3 linked regions of the Stegostoma tigrinum genome follow. The protein of the gene in region 1 interacts with the protein of each later gene in a biochemical or structural test. Links are inferred from orthologs where the notes say so. Each region holds a gene or a part of one and is shown in the gene's direction. Other genes may lie near its edges. The genes, in order: rap1aa, rapgef2b and rap guanine nucleotide exchange factor 5.

What was found.
Region 2: the proteins of rap1aa (region 1) and rapgef2b form a complex in vitro, tested with the Homo sapiens proteins (2 studies listed by BioGRID and IntAct, with this or other methods). The link is inferred for Stegostoma tigrinum from reciprocal best matches to the Homo sapiens genes RAP1A and RAPGEF2.
Region 3: of the proteins of rap1aa (region 1) and rap guanine nucleotide exchange factor 5, one has a biochemical effect on the other in vitro, tested with the Homo sapiens proteins (2 studies listed by BioGRID). The link is inferred for Stegostoma tigrinum from reciprocal best matches to the Homo sapiens genes RAP1A and RAPGEF5.

Annotation. Positions count from the first base shown.
Region 1 is NC_081374.1:5,400,559-5,407,526, forward strand, and holds the start of rap1aa (RAP1A, member of RAS oncogene family a), read left to right. Parts: upstream 1-3,878; 5' UTR 3,879-3,989; intron 3,990-6,968. UniProt on the Homo sapiens protein: Counteracts the mitogenic function of Ras, at least partly because it can interact with Ras GAPs and RAF in a competitive manner. Together with ITGB1BP1, regulates KRIT1 localization to microtubules and membranes.
Region 2 is NC_081354.1:38,387,765-38,395,121, reverse strand, and holds the start of rapgef2b (rap guanine nucleotide exchange factor 2), read left to right. Parts: upstream 1-4,270; 5' UTR 4,271-4,927; coding exon 4,928-4,996; intron 4,997-7,357. UniProt on the Homo sapiens protein: Functions as a guanine nucleotide exchange factor (GEF), which activates Rap and Ras family of small GTPases by exchanging bound GDP for free GTP in a cAMP-dependent manner.
Region 3 is NC_081355.1:75,651,297-75,658,773, reverse strand, and holds the start of rap guanine nucleotide exchange factor 5, read left to right. Parts: upstream 1-4,435; 5' UTR 4,436-4,545; coding exon 4,546-4,719; intron 4,720-7,477. UniProt on the Homo sapiens protein: Guanine nucleotide exchange factor (GEF) for RAP1A, RAP2A and MRAS/M-Ras-GTP. Its association with MRAS inhibits Rap1 activation.

The DNA of each region.
Region 1 (6,968 bases):
TTTTGGTGGCCAAGCCTGAGCGATCCAGCAACATGCAGCAGGTTGAGGGCAGTGCAAGATATTTTATAAAGGGTTCTGTTGTCTTCAGTGTGTAACATAATGTGGGCATCCATCGGATGTACATCAGCATCACTGGGTGAATGACTGTGTGTGTGTGTGTGTGTGTGTGTGTGTGTGTGTGTGTGTGTGTGTGTGTGTGTGTGTGTGTGTGTATTATTGCCTTTTATTGACTAATTTGCATGTTTCAGAATTAGGATGATTTCAGCGTTACAGGGTCTTTCAGTTGCAGTAGTGTAAGAGAATTGAGAGATGTATCATTGCTGACGGTATATCAGCATTGGAAATGTATTAGCGTTGAGTTGGCCCAGTGTTTTATGGTTTGGGGCATACCAGTGGGAAGGTTCATTCAGTGGGAAGATATATCATTGTTTGAGGTTTACCAGTGATATGGGGATTATCAGTGTTCTGGGGTGTCTCAGTGTTTTATTGCAGGGATGTATCAGTGTCTCAGACAGAATGGCAATGGATGGGGCTCAAGGCATAAGCAAGATGAAGATTCTGCTAGGACTAAGACTAAATAAAAGCAAGTAACCATATTCTACTTGGTTAAGGTGAGTCTGGGAAGCTCAGGCCCATGATTTACACATCTCGCAATCTGTGCAAAATCCTACCTCCTCTTGGAGATCAGGATGACCTTGTGCAGAGGTCCCTCCAGCAGGAGCAACTCAAACTCTGAAGTTTGGAGCTTGTGCAGCTGCTGGGGCACAACGGTGTATTGATGAAGGGCTGAGAGGTTGGTGGACAGCACAAACATCGCCAACCCACAGATTAAAGATACGTAGAGAATGGGAATGGGGAACTCCAGTCAGAAGCTCCAGGTAGGTTGTGAGGGAATCATCCAAGTACATTCTATTTGCAAAATGCTGTTCAGTCCTGCAAATTAGTGAGAATGACGGTTCCTCTGTTGAGGCCTGTCAGAGCCAAGGCGTGGGTGGGGTAGGGGAGGGTGGAGTGGGGAAAGGCAATAGTGGGAGGGGATTTATTAGTTTCATAAAGGATTTTAATGAACCAATTATTAAGTGGTAATGGGAACTGCAGATGCTGGAGAATCCAAGATAATAAAATGTGAGGCTGGATGAACACAGCAGGCCCAGCAGCATCTCAGGAGCACAAAAGCTTTTGTGCTCCTGAGATGCTGCTGGGCCTGCTGTGTTCATCCAGCCTCACAATTATTAAGTGGGATAGTTTTAGTGTTCAAGGCAGAGAGGGAACAAAATTCTTAAATTGTATCAAGGGGCACTTTTTTTAAACTGGTGCAATGGAACCCAATAAGGAAAGGCCTTGATATCGTGGGCGCAGGTGGAAGGTGTATCAGTTAGGGGGATCTTTCAGAAATAGTGACCATAACTTAGTTACATGTAGGATGGTAATGGAAAAGGATAAGGATGGGCTAAGAAGGAAACCTATAACCTGGTTAAGGCTAAGTTTACTAAGATAAGACATAACTTGGCCCAAGTAGTCTCAGAACACCTACTTGCAGATAAATCTATCAAAGCAGTGGAAGATATTCAAGGGGGGAGCAGGAGTACGGGGAAAATATGTTTCTGTAAAGAGAAAGTGTAGGAGTAAAACAGCAGAGCTGTGGATGTGAGGAGTCATAAAGTTTAGGATTGAGAAGAAAGGAGAAGTTTATGTCAGATACCCAAGGCTCAGTACAGCAGAGTACCTAGACGATACAAAAAGTGCACGGGGTAATCTTCATCTTAAATGAGGACAGCAAGCAGAGTTAATGAGAAAATAGAATAAAGGAAAACCCAAATGATTAAAAAAAATATATATATAAAGAGCAAAAATAGGAGAATCTTGGGTAATTGGGAAAACACAAGGAAGTGCACCTGTGGAATGTTGGACTAATCAAGAGCTGTTTAAATTGTGGAGGAGGCCTGAGGGGCTGAATGGCCTATTCCTGTTCCTGTTTTTTATTGTATTATGGAAAGTAAATAGGTAAAGATATGGTCCATTAGGAATCATAGAGGAAATGTGTGTGTGGATCTGGGAGATATGGGCCCAGTTCTCAGTAAATGTTTTGCATCAGTCTTTACAGTGGAAAAGAATGATGCAGGTATAGACATCAAAGTGGACGATTATGAAATATTAGAAGAAATTAACATTTAGAGAAAGGAAGTACTGGTGGCTTTAGTAGCTTTACGAATAGATACATTCACAAACCTGTTTGAAACATATCCCAGGCTGTTAAGGGTTCAAAGGGAGCAGATATCAGCTCACTGATGAAGGGTCTAGGCCCAAAACATCAGCTTTTGTGCTCCTGAGATGCTGCTTGGCCTGCTGTGTTCATCCAGCTCCACACTTTGTTATCTCGGATTCTCCAGCATCTGCAGCTCCCATTATCTCAGATATCGGGAGCCCTGAGAGTAATTTTCAAATCCTTGCTGGCCATAGGTGAGGTGCCAGAGGACTGGAGCACTACGAACATTGTCCCGTTACAGAAAAGGGAGGAAAGGACAGATTAGGAAACTACAGGACAGTCAGTCTCACCTCAGTGGTGGGGAAGTTATTAGAAAGAATTGTGAGGGACAGAACAAATCCGCACTTAGACAGACATGGATTAATCAGGGATAGTCAACATGGATCCGTTAAGGGAACGTTATGTTTGACGAGTTTAATTGAATTTTTTGAGGTGATAACCATGAGGGTCGATGAGGGTAATGTATTTGATATGGTCTACTTGGACTTTTACAAGACTTTTGAAAAAGTCCCTCATGGGAAACATATCAAGAAAGTAAGACCCCATGGGATCCAAGCCAAAGTGACACATTGGGCTGAAAATCAGCCACAAATTAGGAAGCAGAGGGCAATGGTAGAGGGATGTTTCTCTGACTGTGACTTCCAGTGGGCTTCCACAGGATTTGATGCTGGGGCATTTGCTGTTTGTATATTAACAATTTGGATTAATGATCAAGAAGTTTTAAAATGAAAGTTATGAAGGTGGTAAACAGTTTAAGGTGAGAGGGGAAGGATCTAAACTGGACCTAAAGGACAACCTTTTTCACTCAGAGGGTGGATTTTGGCTCCCTTGTCCTTTGTATGAAATGAGCTGCCAGCAGAAGTTGTGGAGGTTTTTACAGTTACAGCATTTAAAGGACATCTGGCAGGTATATGAATTAGAAGGGTTTAGAGGGATAGAGACCAAATGCTGGCAAATGGGCCTAGATTAATTTAGAAAAACTGGTCAGCATAGACAAATTGGACCAAAGGATCTGTTTCAGTGCTGCACAACTCATGACTCTATGACTCATCTCCTCCAGGAAAATGGTATTAGTACAGTCGGAGACAATAGGAACTGCAGATGCTGGAGAATCCGAGATAACATGGTGTAAGAGCTGGATGAACACATCAGGCCAGAATTTCTGATGAAAGGTCTAGGCCCAGCCTTCTGCTCCTATGATGCTGCTTGGCCTGCTGTGTTCATCCAGCTCTACACCTTGTTATCTCAGTGTAGTCGGATGTTTTTTGACGAGTGCAGACACGAGGGGCTGAACGGTCCTCTGTTTGTGAGTGTCTGGTGGTCTATAAGAGAGAGGTGTCTCAGTGTTTTGGGGGCCATCTGTCGGAGCGATTTCAGTATTTTGGGTGGTGCCGTGGCACTTCGGGGTGCCTCAACATCTGGCGGGGGCGGTCACATCGCAGCTTCTTTGGGATCCCTGGTACCTTCTGCTCTTCTCAGCATTACTTGCGCGGCGTGCGCCGGCGGTGGGTCCACAGTAGGGGTAGCCTGGGGGCGGGGGGGAGAAGAGCGGGTCGTTGCCGCTTTAAAAGGTGTTTCCCTTTTAAGGCGCTCAGAGCGAGGCTGCCGGTGACGTTGTTGTGTTGTGTGTGCGTCTGCGCGCGCTGAGGTGGGTAGGAGCTCGAGCGGTTTCAGGCGGAGCGACAGCGGCGGAAGGGAGCGGGACGGAACCGAACCGGCAGCGGTGAGGGAGAAGACCGTCGTGTGGGGTGGGGATGGCGGGTAGAGGATTGAGGGAGGAGGGATGGGGGGGGGGGTAACTGAGGGGGTAGTGAGGGTGTGGGGCCCACTGGGAGGTTTTGAGTGAAGGGAGTTTGTGTTTATTTTATGGGGGGCGGAGATGACTGAGGCAATGGGGAGCGGCCGTTTCCAGGAGAGGCCGACGCCGCTCCTGGGCCCGTCCCTAGCCGCCGGCCCTTGCGGTTCAGGGCGGGAAGCAATGCGGAGCCTCCAAGTACCCTTCGCCACTCGGTAGTGGGTGCGTGCAGTTAGGGCTTCCTCTTTTCCCCCGCCCTGGGCCTGCCAACTAGGCCCCTCATCCCCCGGGGTGAGTATACCTCGGCTGGAGCTGAGGGCCCATCCCTGCTGCGGCTGTGTCAGGCGGCAGCACCAACAGCGTTACAGATCCCTGCGAAAACCTGTTCAATTTCCATATAGAGACTGAGTAATCAAATGGTAAACCGGTGTCACTTTTTCCCTTGTGCCTGCGTGAAATGTTTTTTAAAAAAAACCAAAGCTGTATACTGTCAGGATGGGGTAACATTGAGCCCAGTGGTGGGTGTTTGATTCCAGCTGATTTCACACTTATATGTTTGGTTGCGTTCAGCTGAAAAGTCAACCCCCCTCCCCCCCACCTTGCTATTTATGAGAAATCCAACTCTCAACTGGGCAGCAGACTTGACAATCCAGTTTTCTTCTCCATTGTAGATCCACACTTCCAGCACTGAGTAGCGTAAATGATTCTTGCACACTAGTCACTGAGAATCCAGCCTGCATGGGTTTCAAAGCAACCTTGTGTAAATTGCCACAGCATGCAAATCTATTTTAGGTGTGACTGGCTGAATGAAGTTGATGATTGACAGCAAATTGTGGAAGTGCATCTCAGTGACACAGTGGAACTTGAGTTAATGTTTGGGAGATAACAAAATGTGAAGCTGTACAAACCCAGCAGGCTAAGCAGCGTCTCAGGAGCACAAAAGCTGATGTTTTGGGCCTAGACCCTCCTTCAGATTAATTTTTGGGAGATCCTGTTTATTGGAACTAATTACTATAAATCTTTTGCATCCATCTGTATTCTCAAGGTTCAGTTCTGTTGCTTTTCACATTGTTTTTTGTCAGTATTTGTTTTTTTAATGTTTTATGCTTTTACACATTCTTTTGAAGCATCTAAAGCACTGGTTTTAATTTCTTGATCGGATTTAGTTAATCTGATGGACCACTTGAATGCAAACCACTACCATTACTGCAGAAATGCATCCAGAGATGTATAGATCTTAACTACCTTTCTCATTATTTATGTAAAGGGAGTTGTGTCCTCAGTAAATTTTGAAGTCTGTATAATCAAATTTTGTTTACTGCCCAGTGAATGTGATGGGAGGTTTCAACTTATATTTCTTGGCGATAGGACATAGACAAATATAAGGTATGAAAACCTGAAGTAGATGGAACCTACAAGGTTAGTAAAATACTGAATCCTTCAGAAATGAATTTGTGACTTGCAAGCATCTGCTTGGCTTGTGTTTTTTCCAAACCCTCCTTTTGATTTCTGATAACCACTGCATTTGGTGCAAGAGTTCTATAAGCTGACTTTCTGACTGATATTCCCCATCGTGTTTATAATATAAAGACTTAGCATGACAGATTGCAGCATTAGATCCTTTAAAGGTGTGGCTTGTCACGAACACTTTCTCTTACCTGTGATAGTTGTTTGATTGGGGAATGACTGAGGCAATGGGGCGTCTCCTTCCTTATTCTGTAATGTTTTTTGATAGAGCGTCTCTGTAGTCCTTTGGAGGACATAGCTTCATTCTTGAGGTGAACAGTGGAATTTTTGAATATTCAAAGGGGAGAGAAAACATGTTCTAACTCTTTTATATTTGGTTGTGTTGTGCAGTATTGTAGGATTTCAGTAAGTGTTATGATGTAAAACTTTTCATTTGGACTTGTGCTTGGACATTATCTGACAACATAAAAATTTTGTCTTTGTGTTCAAGTAACATTGAAGTATTCCCCTTTAGGCTGAAGTACTGATATTGCTGTATTTAACAGCACAATCAAACATTCACTTACATTGTTTTGTCATAATCAATTTTACCTTGCAATAGCGTGCAGGACTCTTGATGTTCTTGCTTTAGTGTTGAGGTCAAATAACTAACAATTTCTGCTTTATGCTAAACTTGTAACGAGATTGAGCTTGTCTTAAGAGTCTGAGCGGAATGTTGGTTTCAAATCTGTTGGAGTTCAAAATTTGTCTTTAGTGGAGGTTAATCAGCACCAGCTCTTTAACTTTTGAAAGTCACCTGGTAATTTTTTTATAATGTTGGCAACACTGCACTGACTAATATAAAAAGATCAAACGTGGTTTGGAGTTGATTTGCTTTCAGCTTCTTAATGTGTAGAAAACTGGGTTGGTCTTGTAGAAGGCAGTCTAGCACTGATAAGTAGCAACTGCAAGGAGTGATGGCTTCTGGTACCCTCCTCCTCCTCCTCCTCCTCCTTCCCCCCCCCCCACCCCCCAAATAATTGAATATGTAAATAGTCACTCTATGAACCAGTCGCTTTTATGTAATTGAAGAGTGCTGTCGCCACACTAGAAGAGTAGCACAAGAAAAGATCTACGTCATGTGAAAAAATTCTCAAAAGAAATAGGAAAGCCTTTGACTGCCCTGTGGGAATGTGTGGTTAGACTGTAATCTGTATGTTTTTTAAATCAATTTCTTGCCAGAATTTCATTGCTTTTGCTTGAATTACATTATACATGATATTTACAGTATTGGCAAATTGAGCATGGAACATGCTGGTTGGTGGATACTGGTATTAAACAGAACTGACAATTGTTGGAAGTAGTCCTAATCTGAGAGATGTTTAACACAGAGGGTTTTGTCTTTCTTGTGAAGAGTGCGCACTTCCTGTGCTTGTTATCCAAGTATGGGGGGTGGTGGAA
Region 2 (7,357 bases), on another chromosome or scaffold:
TGTCATTTGATCAGACCCTATCTTAAACATTCACTCTAGGCATCAACAATGGACTGTCGCAACAATGTTACAATATAAGAGATGTATTGTGACAACTTACTAAGGCTTCTTCTCACTCTCAAAGCTAATGACATCACCTAGAAGGACAAGGGCAGCAAATAGGTTAGATGCATGTGAGCACTCCAACTTGCAAGTCTCTCCCCTCCAAGCCACATATGATGTTGACTGCAAACTGTATTTGCTCTTTCACTGTTGTTGCATGAACATTCTGGAACTCCCTTTCATTTTCAATGAATTACAGAAGTTCAAGTACACAGCTCACTGCTACCTTCTCAAGGGTAATTAGGGATAAGCAACAAACGCTGGCCTTGCCAGCACTCCCAGATCCACAAAAGGATAAAAATACTCACCGTATCTAGTCAACCATGTATAAATATTTATATAGTCATAGTCAAAGCCCACAGCACGGAAACAGACCCTTCGGTCCAAGTCATCTATGCTAACTACAGATCCAAATCGGGCCTTGTCCCATTTGCCAGCATTTGGCCCATAGCCCTCTAAACTTTATATTCAAGCCATCCATGTGCCCTTGAATGTTGTAATCACACCTGCCTCCACTGCTCCTTCTGGCAGTTCGTTCCACATATACCCCAGTATCTGATTGAAAACATTACCCCTTTTTAAATCTTGCCCTTCTCACCTCAAACGTATGCCCTCTAGTTTTGAACTCCCCCGCCCAGGAAAAAGACCTTGGTTATCTACCCTATCCATGCCCCTCATGATTTTATATAACTGTGTAAGATTACCTCCAATGCTCCAGGGAAAAGAAAACCCCAGCCTATTTAGCCTCCTTCTACAACTCAAACTTTCTTGTAAATCTTTCCTGTACCCTTTCAAGTTTAACATCCTTCCTATTGAAGGGCAACCAGAATTGTACAGTATTCTAAAATTGGCCTTACCAATTGTGTTGAGTGCTTCCCCTATCCTAATAGCCATCTCTCTCAAAAAATAACCTTTGATAAGCAGATCCAATGCAGGATCAGCTTGCCAGTTCAGATTTTTCACAAATTACAGTAATGAGTGTTTGCCAAGAATGACCTCTGGAAGTCAACTTGCATTCTCATGTATGGAGCAGTTGTTATCATCACACTCCTTTGCTGCAATGAGACCTTGAATGTGTATCGACAACTCATAATAGCACATAATAAATTCCATTACCAAAGCCTCTACTACTTCCCTTGGATTCAATAGGACTATTGTGCAACAAATGCCGCTGTTGATCTTACAGTGTACTCAAATTGTCAGGCAAACCTCTTGTAAAATCAACTTTGATGAACTGGATGCTGTGTCCAGATGGCAAAGTTGGCTCGCAAAAAGGAGCCTGAGCTACATGTTGCCTGCCATTTTAACACACCACCCTGCTCCCTGGCCAACATCTCTGACTCTGGCTTGTTGCAGTGTTCCAACAAAGCTCAATGCAAGCTGGAAGAACAAGACCTTATTTACCCCTTGGGGACGCTGTAGCCCTCCGGATTCAATATGGAGTTCAATAATTTTATGGCCTAAACTCTTCCATGTCCTAGCCCCCTACCCCAAACACCAGGTCTTGTTATCACGTGGCCTGCCATTACATGCTATTTACTGTTAGTCACTAACGGTCTCTATTAACAACAATTCGCCCTTCCAGCCACATGGTATCACCTCCTTTGTCTATCCAACTGCTGTTCTCTCTCTTCAGGCTCTATCCTACCATTTACTCCCTACCCCATCCCCTCCCTATTTTCTGCGTATAAATTGATGTTTTCCCAGCTACCATCAGTTATGGGGAAGGGTCACCGAACCCAAAATGTTAACTCAGATTTTATATTCATAGCTGCTGCCAAAACTGCTGAGCTTTTCCATCAACTTCTGTTTAAGCCCCTGATCGTCCTTTCTTTGCACAATCTATAGAAACAGTAAGATTTGTGTAATAATGATGCTGAAAAGACAAAGCTATTAATTATCTGTCCTAAATTAGTAATTAATTTTGTACTCTTAAACATACACAACACTCATTAAAAAGTGCATCAAGTTCCATTCTTAAAAATCAATTTATCTAATCCTCATTAAATATAGAAATAGTACCAGAGTATCATTGGGTGGAAGTTACTGAAAAGCATCTATAGGGTCAAAATGGACTTCAATTTGGAAAGGTATTGGTTTAATCTTCTGAAGAAGGGCCTCTAGCCTCGATGCTAACTCTCTTTTCTATCCACAAATGCTGCCAGACCTGCCATCTTTTTGTAGAAATTTCTGTTTTTATTTGTTTCAGATCTTCAGCACCTGCAGTTATTGAGTCATAGAGATGAAGAATTTGCACATACATAGATAAAAAGTAAGTATAGTGGGACAAAGCATCACTTCTCTTTTAAAGAGAAAATATGAACACAATATTTTGAATGGCCTCCTATTTTGAAAGTTTCCATTGCTTTCTAAGTAACAAAAGTGGAATAACAATATTAAGAGCTTTAAGTAACTTAATATGACTAAGGAAAAAAGTGATATCTTTAACATCTTGTTAAAATATATAAATCTCATGAATAATTTTGAAAATGAAATAAAGAAATAAACTTATAATGAAGACTTTTTTTAAGTTTCAGATGTAACCTTTGGTCAGAACATTAACAAGACTTTCCTCTTTCCATGCTTAACAGCTTTTGTGTTTTTTCCTTTAACTTTTCCATGGATCAATATGCCACACCATAGGATCCTGTGACGTATTCTTTCATCTTTACGGCATGTGTTGGAATTCTTCCTCTTTACCTTTTAGCTATTTTTTGGAGTAGAGGAGGATCTGAATGAAAAGACAGTTGCATGTTTTTAGGTTAGTTCTTTGCAAGCACAGTTTTATCAAGAGTTTTATTTCCTTTCTTCAGTCTCATGTTGCTGATTTACAGCATCCGTAGTTCTTTTTGTTTTTAATCGAGAACAGGAGCTTCACAGTTTTGAGTTTCCATCAAAAAAACAAATTAAAGTAGGAACCGCAGATGCTGGAGAATCCAAGACAACAAAGTGTGGAGCTGTGCTCCTAAGATGCTGCTTGGCCTGCTGTGTTCATCCAGCTCCACACTTTGTTATCTTAAAAGTAGGAAATGATGTATGGTAAAGGATTATACTTTGTAGTCAGCAGCAAATGATTGGCAATGACCATTCTTTACCATTGCTGGTAGACTTCTTATGATAGATAGCAAATGATAGATGAAAAGAGCCAAAAATTTCCCCATTTACTACAGAAGTTTTGTAAACAGGTAGACAACTGTACACCTCTGCAATAAGCAGGCTCTGAATCAGAAACTGGCATTACAACATTGTACTTTATGTTAAATCAGTTTCAGAAAGCAAACTTAATGAAAATTGGATTGAGAAAAAAGGACTAAAGTAAAATATTTTATTTAATTTTTTCTTCATTTTCAATGAAATTTGGCAACTAAATTGTTTACCTATCTCTTTTTCACTATTGGGAGTTCTAAAAAAAAGTCAAGAATGCAACAGCCTCTGTTCCTCATTTAAATACAAACACATTCAGTGACGGAACCATTTACACAATAGAATACAGCGCAGAATCAGGCCGTTTGGCCCACCAAGCCTGCGTCGATTCCAGTCCTTATTTGGACCCGTTACTTAACGCTTTCTATCCCTCTTTTCACTTTCCATTCAAGTGTCTTGTCAAGATACGCCTTAAACGTTACTAACGTGCCTGCTCTCATCGCCGCCACTGACAGTACATTCAAGGCACCCATCACCATCTATGTGAAAAACTTGCCCCTCTCACCTTGAACCTGTGCCCCCTTGTGGTCTGGAGCATGGATTTTCCTTAGAACCGTAACATCATTGTTGATAGTGCCACACTCATTCCTCTTAATTCATTATTTCTGAATTTCACTAACAGTTTGGCTATTTGTATTTTTAAAAATAAGCTTTTTGTAATTTCATTTATATATATAAACTTCGTAAACAAATGGAACATGTTGAAACCCGCTGTTTTCATAACGATAACGCTGAGTTTAACCCTTGGCGAGAAGCATGAACGTGTCTGCCCTCTTCTCGTTCGACTTTTGCACTTTTAATTTTAACGATTCCATGGTTAGATATAGTCACACCACAGCACCTCGTGATACATCCTGTCATCTTTATGGCATGTGCTGTATGTTCTTTCTCGTTGCCCCTTGGCTGCTTTGGGAGGAGACAACAAATTAAGGCACCATTTTTTTCTGGATGATCTGAGTGAGGAGGCGGTAGAGAGTTTTTGGCCGAGCTTTTAGCGAGAGTTTAGTTGTCATTAGTTTTCGTCCCTCCTCCATCTCCTTTCTGTTTCCAGGAGATTTTCACTTTGTGATGAAACAAAGGGTCCAGTGCAGGTCGTTCGTATCTGATTGAAATTAAACAACAACGAAATAATTTGACATCGACATTTAAACAGCGCTTTGATTAGACAACGCATTTAGAAAGCACTTGTTATTTTCTGGATTATTCCCGAAGCTGTCCAGGACAAGACAACGAGGCGAAATTATTTGTGGTTTAATTATAAAAATAATCCGATGGATTATGAAGCATCCCAAGGAGCTGGATAGAATCGGGTATTACTGCGAAGAGTCGTTGCTTTGTACAGAGTGGGAGCGGCGGGTGCCGCGCGGACGGTTGTGGTTGTCAGGGCAGCTCCGAGTTGGCGTTCACATTCCAGAAGCCGACAGAAGCTTCTGATCGCGGTGACGTCTTTGGGGTTGCTCCAGCTACTTGAGGCCGATCTCGGGCCTGCGCTCTGAGTGCAGACATTCCCAGGCGTCTCTCCCCTCCGAGAATTAGGAAAGTAGCGCTGCCGTAAAGGGAGGCTCGAGTCGACTCGAGGCCCTATTATTTTATAGGCCCGCACCGGGTCGAGGTCGGAACCATGGCGTCTTACGTGGATAATAACTTCAGACAAGCGGTCATGAAGAACCCGGCAGAAAGGACGCAACAGGTATGAACAGTGGGCAAATAATCGCAAGTATCGATGCTTTGGTAATGGGAGTACGGCTCGCATCTGATGGGCACCAGCGGCCCATCTTGCCCACCTCTTTGCTGGGTTGTGGTGATTTCTTTCCCCTCTTGGTTGTGTGTACGATGAAAGATATGTGACTCCCCCCCCCCCCCCGAAGTATAGTAGATTATTTTAATTGTTTTCCGGTTTTTTTTCCTTGCGCATCTCGTTGTGATTTGAGATTCACGTCAAGGAAGATTGTTCCGCTAACAAAGCTCTCTTTGCCCCTGTCACTGTCTCTGTACGGCGTTAAGGGAATTTCTGAAGCATTTCCCCGCTTCTCGAAAAATGTTATTTTTTTCATACTTTTTTTTTGTTATCCTGATCGATCCAACATCCACTTCTGAGAAACGCAGACTTAATTTACCATTTGTACCGTTGAGTTTTTATCATTTCCCAAATTTCTAACGGTGGATTGATGGAGTTTGGGATTGGATGTCAGCACCAGCATCACATTTAAAAATATGCACCTATGTTGTTTCTTATCTGCAATATAAACAAATTTATTTAGTGTGATTTATTTATTTTGATCGGCGACTTTGGATGACCTAAGTTTACCCCTTCTTGTCCGTACTATTTTTTTTAAATGCGACAGTGATCGGAGAACATAATCACATTTATTCGTTATTTATGTATAATCGCGTTTAATAACGAATATTCTTTCTTTTTTCAATCAATTCTGATTTTGGTAGCAGTAGGTTTAGCTTGTGCCCAATTATCCTCTCTTTACTTGTAACTATAATTAAGATTTGAAAGTTTTTTTCACTGTTGCTATGTTCTAGTCGTGAGAGAAATGGTCACGGTTTTATGCATCCACAATTGACAACGGGAATAAGTTGTAAACGTTTTTAAAATGATGAATGAGACTTTGGAAACAGAATAATTAAAGCATGTCTAGTCGCTTATGATAGCGTAATTGTATACAATCCAGGATGAGAATAGTGAAGCTTAATGGAATAAATTATATTTTTACCTTTTGATGCTTTTACTGTGGGAGGTTGACAAGAATCAAACTCACGTAGGCATTTGTAGTCTGAGATCTAGGCATGCGCAGTCATTTGACAGGAACGATATTTATTTATAATTCAGATTTCACTGACCTAGTGTCAGACATGTTATGTAGAGAAGTTTTTAATTTTACACGGAGTTATATTTAATGTGTAATGCTTGTGACCTTTGAGACGTTGTAAAAGATTAGGAGCCAATTTTATAATGTCCTTAGAGTGCACGCTTTGTAGGCCATTTAGCAGTGTTTTGGTAATTATATATGTATGTATACATGTATGTGTTTAAAAATTGCACTTAGTGAAGGGATGTCAGACAAATTCACATGTCCAGAAGTTGTTATAAGTACACTTCCTGGGAATATCTTAAAATCCCTTTTTCATCAATAATGCTTTGCAAAAGATCATTTATTCAAAAAATAATGTCAGTGAATATTTGCACCACTCATCATCTGAACTATTAATTCAACATAACAGTAATATTTCATTCAAAGAAATTTCATTTCATTATCATAGTGTTGTGCTCAGGCTACAGGTGACTTGCAACCAGTTTTGAATGGTTGTAGGTTTACTGAGGAACAACATGCAAAAATATTTTAGTAAGGTGACTATGTAGTGTTAATCACTGAAAATCTATTATTACATGACATGTTGGATAAATACAGTAACCTCAGTTTTTAACATTGTCTTCACAAAAAATGTTAAATTCTTATGACTTGCAATGCAGGATTAATTTATGACATAGTATTCTGGCAGACATTATCTGAATTTTCTCTACAGTATCAGTATCATTGTAAATTATTTTTATTTAAATTGAGGGGATCTAAACTACTTGTGTATTTCTTAAAACTTTGTATCTGTCCATACTTTTTGCAAATTTTTGTGATAAGTTCCAATGTTTATAGTGCAAACTGCCTATGTGAACTGCAATAAGATTCTACCCCACCTCCCCCTACACCTTTGAATCTTCCCTCTGAGCTGTGTTATGTGCAATAACCTGAATGTTCCTGTGCAGTGTGCTCACAACCTGGTCTTTTTTAAGTTTTTATTCTGGATGTGCAGCTCTGCAAAAAACTTACTTGAAGATTACACAAAGCAAATTGCCTTCAATGAATGGTAATGATTCAGATTTATTTTTCCTTGTTCCTCAGCCTGTACTGAGAAGAAACTTCAGTGTTCCAATGAACATCATTTCTTGTTGCATGTTTTTTCTTTTCAACTATATATCATATAAAAGCAAAGTGTTATGTAAAAAGTAAGGCCAGAATGTATGGTTTCATGTCAGCCACTGAATTAT
Region 3 (7,477 bases), on another chromosome or scaffold:
GTCGTTTCCACAGAGCTATACAATGGTCACTCTCAAATATTGTAATGAATCTGTGGTAGGTATCACATATCACTTAGAATTATTTTTGTTGATTTCCTGTCCAAAAATTGCAGACATAGTCCAGCAGCTATGTTCTTCAAGGCTCATCCAGTTGTCTTAGTGGTGTGAGTGATAATGGGAACTGCAGATGCTGGAGAATCCAAGATAACAAAGTGCGGAGCTGGGTGAACACAGCAGGCCAAGCAGCATCTCAGGAGCACAAAAGCTGATGTTTCGGGCCTAGGCTCTTCTCTCATGAAGGGTCTAGGCCCGAAACGTCAGCTTTTGTGCTCCTGAGATGCTGCTTGGCCTGCTGTGTTCATCCAGCTCCACACTTTGTTATCTTAGTGGTGTTCCTGCTGAGCCACTCTTAGTGATGGATATTGAGGTCCCAGACCCAGGCCAAGAGTACTTTGTGTCCTTGATGCTTTCTGTTTCTTCCAAATGGTGTTTTTTGTGGATTCATCATCCAGGTTGGGGTGGGGCATGATTGCTGTTGGTGAGTTTGTAATTTGTAATCAGAAAGAAATGTTCTTGCCTATGTTTGACCTGATGCCATAAGAGTCTGCAAGATCCAAAGTCAATGTCAAAGACTCCCAGGACAACATCTTCCTGATTGTTCACCACTGACACCATCTGTGGTAGCTCTGACCAGCTTGTGGGACAGGGCATTTATGATGATATTGATAGGCAGTATGGTAGTGTCACAGAATTATCTGAAAGGTGTGATTCTGAGAGTTCAACCGCATCAGGCTATTGTTTCCTTGTTCTGAAGACTCATATCAGACTGAAAACATTTATTCTGTTACCCTCTCCACAGATGCTGTCAGATCTGCTGAGTTTCTCCAGCACTTTGTTATTTTCAGATATCCAGCACCCACACTAGCTTGCTTTTATTTGTTGCTTGATCAGTCTGTGGGACAACTGTTCCAATTTTGGCACAAATCCAAAAAAATTAGTAAGGAGGATTTTCCAGGGATTTGCCATTGTTGTTTCCTAGGGGGATAATGGATTGGAGATACTACCCTAACATTTGCTAGTTTAACCGAAATGAAATGAAAGAAAAACCATATGAAATCAGCTGTACTGAAAAGTTAATGCTGGACAATGACTGAATGGGTAGAAATGTCATTAGTTTTATTGTGTTTCTATGTTTGAAAGAGTGTGTATTTTGATTAAATGCTGTGACTCAACTGTAATGGACTTAATGTTTGAAAGGCTGGAATCTTGTTTTAAAATAGTCCAGGATATCAGATCTATCAGCTAAACAGAGTGCTTGATCAGAAAATTGCCCTGTGTAAATAGCATTTGGTTGTTTGCAAGACATATATGTGACAATAGGCTGAGCAAGTTAAGTCTGAGATCAAAATTTGATTAAAATCAAGGAATAACCCTCTTTTCAAGCAAAACAAACAAGTCCTAATGTGTAATTGATCAAACCTGTCATGGAAAGCATGGCACATCAGTAACGTTTGCTAATAGTTGAACTGATCAAATTGCTGGAGCCTGCGTAGAGAGTTTCAACACACTATGGAGAAAGAGAATAAGAAATCTTGTGCTGGTGATAGCTAGCTGAGAACAAGACCATCTGATCAGTGACTAGAGGTTGAACTGGATTGGGCAGACCATCTGATACAAGTCTTGGACAAGTCCATGTAATCCAGATCACTTGCAATTATAAGCATTACATGGTTAAGATTTTTGCAGTGCTTTTTTGTGGACTTTGCTTTAATAAAGAACATTAGATATATCCTGTTGTTAGAACTGCCTTTATCATTGATATCTGAAGTTGGAATAAAAGCCTTCAGGGTGCTACCTCTTGGAGATAACGGGAACTGCAGAAGCTGGAGAATCCGAGATAACAAAGTGTGGAGCTGGATGAACACAGCAGGCCAAGCAGCATCTTAGGAGCTCTTGTTTCATTTCACTTTGAATTTGCAGCAGTTTATTACAAGTGGCCCAGAAGCCACTCAAAGGACAATTAAGAGCCAACCAGATTGCTATAGATCAGGAGTCCCATGTAAGTAAGACTAGGTAAAAACATCATATTTCTTCCCGAAAGAAGATTGGTGAACCAGATGGCATTTTGACAAGAATTGCAATGTTTTCTTATCACTAATACTGGATTTTCATCAGTTGCTCACTAGCTATGTTTTCAGTACATAAATTACCTTTAAAAATCTTGCCAAACTTCATAACATATCCACATAATGCTTCTGAAAAGTCTTTTTCCTCAAATATGGACTCCCTCCACATTTTTGGGCAGAACTTTCAATGTGAGTCTCACACAATTCCTCCACTTTGGGCATCTCCTCTTCCTCCCAGAATCACTGAAGGATTCAGCTTGTCCTCATTTCTGTTATCTGCAGCAAGTTGCCATCATCAAACATGCTTTTTCCTCCTGTGGGCCATCCAAAGAGCCTGTTCCCTCCTGCTCCACTGTAACCTCACCCATGGACCATTCCCATGTAGTTGCAGGGATGGGAAACATTTACCCATCTACCACGTCACTGTTAAAGGCTCTGACCATCCTTCCAGGAGAAGCAGCTGTTTTACATCTATCATTTTCAATCTAGTTTTCTGCATTCATTCTCACAGTGCAGCCTCTTCTACACTATGGAGACCAACCACAAGTGATCAGTTTGTGAAGCACTTCTGTTCAGTCCAGACACATGACCTTGGCCTTCCAGCCACTCTTCATTTTAATGCACCATCTTGTTCTTGGTGCTCACATTTCTCTTTTGGTTGTATGTTCTGGTGAAGCCCAATGCAAACTGGAGAAATAGCATCTTATTCTCCACTTTGGTATTTTACAGCCTTCTGTTGAACATTGGTTCTTTGTAAATGGGTTCATGATATTGCTGTATGGATTAATGAGGGAATCTTTCCTCTGTTGAACTGCTAAATGGATGATATTATTTTGACTCAAACTGTGCGAAAGTGATGGATTATCTTTCATGGAATAATATGCTCTATTGTGTAATTTTCAAAACCTGTTTAACTAATTTTCATTTAGGGGTGGGCAATCTTACAAGAGGTCTTTTTTGGTATCACATTGAGGGACATCTCAAAGAGATGGTTGAGAAGCCTTGGCCTACAGTAATGGGTCCAATATCTTTGTTAGCACCAGTAATAAAGCTGAAATTGCTAAGCGATCATCCCTAATGTTGCTGTGATATGACAGTCTCATTTTTGATAATTATACCTGTTGGAAATGATGTATATCCAGCCAACATGAGATTTATTGCTAGTTCTGCTTCCCATCTGGCCAGAAAATTTGGAGCCTTGTGTTCTTGTGTTAGCACACAGAGCTTTGTTCATTGCTTTTCAACGTTAATGAAAAGCTGGCAGAATTGTTGGTTTCTTTGCTGATATCGAAGATTAGTTTAAAACTTAATTTTGAAACATTTCTGTAAAGGCCACCAAAAACCTGGAAACATTTTTTTCTTAAACTGGCTTTACACTAGATGAATCACCACCACTATATTAAAGTTGCTTGGACATGGTGAATCCTACCATGTATGGCACCTTGGCATATATTTTAGACATTGTGTTATCCTAACAGTATTTGACAATACAACAGAGTAATGCCGTGGTACACACTACCTGTTGCATTGTCTTCATTCTTTAAATAGTACAAGATGCAAAGTGGCAAGATGTATTTTTATATGTCGCTTGCCGTTAATTAATAGAACAGTCTCTTGGAAGTCCGGCACAAGTAAGGAACAAACAGCAATTACTTTAATGAACAAAGAGTAATACTAACTAGCTATTGAAATTATTATATAAATGAACATTGTCGTTGAAACAGACGTTTTAAAATCTCAAAGTAAAGCAAAGGATTCATTATTTGTTTAACAGAAGAAAGAAATGTACATTGTGTAATTGGCAAATGCAGCATTTGAATATTCATTAATTATTGTTAAATACTTTTATTGTTTAATTATTTGCTTTAGAGTAATAAGCTAATAAGCATGACAAATCTGAGATACTGTGTCGCTGGACATTATAGAACTCTGATAAGGATCAAAGCACATCTACAGTATTACAGTTTAGAAATTCATTTGTTCATCTAGTGTCTGCTAACACAAATGTAACCTAAATTTTAATATTTACAGTTGATTTTTTTGATGGTTAGCACTGCATTGTCCAAAGTAGTGACATTATTTTGAACTGCAAAGCGTCAGTTGTGACAATTTAATTATTAATTGTGAATGTTCAGATTTGTATGAAACAAAAATTGAGATGGAAACCAGCTTTCTCAGAGCACTGGAGGTTTACAATGGAAGAGGAAACATTGCATAATGGGATATCCTGCACCTGTAGGTGACCTCATTCAGTATGCGATATACAATGCAGATGCAGATTATATGCACAGCAGAAGGCAAATGGCTGGGTGGAGTATGTAAAACTGCAGCTTATCAAACAGAACACAGTGGACTCAGCTGCAAACTGAACTACATTGCAGTACAGGAAAAATGAGTATCTGTGCCAGCTTGTGAGAGAATGGCTCAACGGACTGATATTCCTGGCAGTTTCTGTGTCCCAGAAGTAGGACTTTTAGCTGCTATTAAATGGAGCAGAAACGTAAAGGGGCAAGGACAATTAAAACAGAAGATAAAAGACCTACCTGCACTTCTGAAAAATGGATTGAACCTCAAGAAGAAGCAGGCTGATGTGGTAATTGTACAATTCTGCAATTTATACTGTAATCAAATAATACAGGGCAAAATTATATTACATTTATGAGAGGATGTGATCACTATTTTACTAGGTATTCTTTTGCAAGGTTCAAGAGGAAACATTTTATCGAACAATATAATATGAAGCAGGTAATTGTAATTTGCTGACAGGTTACATATCTTTGCGAATAGATTGTTTGCTATTGAGGGTGGAACATATATTAAATACAGGCTCAGGCGAATAAAGAGTTTTTTTTAAAAAGACACTTTTAATCTGCAGTCATGTACTGAAATGTTTTGAGGAAAACTCAAACTTTATAATCTAATTTCTATTGTTTGAATCTGTCAGGAGAGTTTGATTATTCTATTAGTTTGAACCGTAAGACATATTAACACTTCACACTTCGTGATAAACATCGTAAACATCAATTAATTGCTTAAAACAAAATGTCACTTTGTAGTTTTGCATACTGCTCAATAGAACTGGTAGCTCAGTAATGTAAACGAAATACTTTTGCAAAATATTATCTGGGAGAGAGGGAAATTTGAAATTGAAAGCATTTTGCTGAGAAAATTGAAGGTCACTCAAACATGCATTGTCTGAACTATTGTTATGGCATATTACACATTTTTTGGTATCTAAAAATAATAGCAGAGGTCCCCTGAGTGGAAAATATTCTTGGTTTTCAATTTACTGCAAAATTGTAATGGCCTTCTCTATATTAGCATGCACAACTTTAAAAAAAACTACAAAAAACTAATATTTTGCTCAAATACTGTACTTGCATGTTACCATTCCTTTAGCAGATGGCAATAACAATATGACACCACAAACAGCTCAGAAATAAGTATGTTTTTAGTAATATGTGGCTGGTCAAAGGATAATACCGACTAATTACAATTCTTGTCACATTTTTATATTAAACCTCTGTGGTGAAGAACTGAGTGGCAAAATGTAATTGCACAGGCTCCTTCAACCTTGGGGACATTGGTTTGAGTCCAACGCACACTGATTAGATGGCAAAGTTTCTTGCTGTACTAATTGACTACCTCACTTGTGGAAACTGTTTGGTGTGAGGAATGTAAAACTTAAGACTATAACACATTGTTAAGGCAGAATAAAGTATCACCCTGTGTTGCACCTCATTAGGGAGAGAGAAGTGCTTAATGCTGCATGTCAGCAATAGAAAGCCTTTCTATTCCATGTCACTGAAATTTTTGACTGTGAACACAAAAAATTACAAAACTGTATTCATTTTAAAAATACCTTCATAATTGTCAAAAATGTTAGAATTTCAAACGAGTAATAATACAATGAAGTTTTCGTGTTATCATTTTGCTTTGGTTTAGTTAACTACTAAGTGCATATTTCCATTATGTTGTGTTAACTCAATTATTACAAATATATAGGTCTTCCTGAGCTTTTCCCTGCTTTGCTGATATTCTGTAATGACAAAGCTGTCAAAAAAAAACTTTTATCATGAACTTGCATCACAGTTAGGAAACTTCAGACCAAACCAAATCCAACATTCTGTTCTGAAAAAGCTCTCAGTTTGTCAGCTCTGACAAATTCCACCACAACTGTTGAGATAATCCATGTGTTGTAAAAGAAAATCAAACCACCCATTCTCTTGATATCTTTTAAATAATTCCAGAATCCATGTGCTGGTGAAATAAAAACTAATATTTTCTCCCTTGAACCATACTCTATCCATGTATCAAGTTTTGTTATAAACCATTTATTAGTTTTTGAGAGAGTTTGTTTTATAGATTAACAAACTGGTTGAAAACTTTACCTCTGCCGACCTTCAATGATGAAAGGCTTAAAGCAGCCCATTATATTAATTTTTAAAATGTCAATTTACCTTATCTCTTACTGTTAATGGGTTCTTTAAAAATATTCCAGGATCTACATTTGGATCTAGAAAACTAACCAGGCTATCATTGGGGACAATATCATAAGTGTGCCAACTTTAGTTGAGATCTGTCCAGCAGGTTTTGAGATGTCCTATGGACAGACGAACAAACAGGGTCAAAGTATTGCTGCTGCTTCGGAAATGCTGGTTGGGTTACTGCTGGCGCTCCTTTCTTCTGGGATCTTCAGAACCTGGCTTTCACAGAAATGTGCAGTGCAGCATCCCTTGGGATACTCCGCTGGGATAAGACAGGATGTGTTAGGTTTTAATCAGAGATAATGGGAACTGCAGATGCTGGAGAATCCGAGATAACACAGTGTGAGGCTGGATGAACACAGCAGGCCAAGCAGCATCTTAGGAGCACAAAAGCTGACGTTTTGGGCCTAGACCCTTCATCAGAGAGGGGGATGGGGAGAGGGTTCTGGAATAAATAGGGAGAGAGGGGGAGGCGGACCAAAGATGGATAGAGGAGAAGATAGGTAGAGAGGAGAGTAGAGGTGGGGAGGGGATAGTTCAGTCCGGGGAGGACAGACAGGTCAAGGATCATTGGCAGATGTGCAGGTGAACATCTGCTTGATATGGAAATTCATCTTGGGGCCTGGGATGGGGGTGAGGGAGGAGGTGTGGTGGCAAGTGTAGCACTTCCTGCAGTTGCAGGGGAAGGTTCCGGGTGTGGTGGGGTTGGAGGGGAGTGTGGAGTGGACAAGGGAGTCCCAGAGAGAATGGTCTCTCCAGAAGGTAGACAAGGGGGGGGATGGAAAAATGTCTTGGGTGGTGGGGTCGGACTGTAGATGGCGAAAGTGTTGGAGGATGATGCGTTGTATCTGGAGGTTCTGTCCG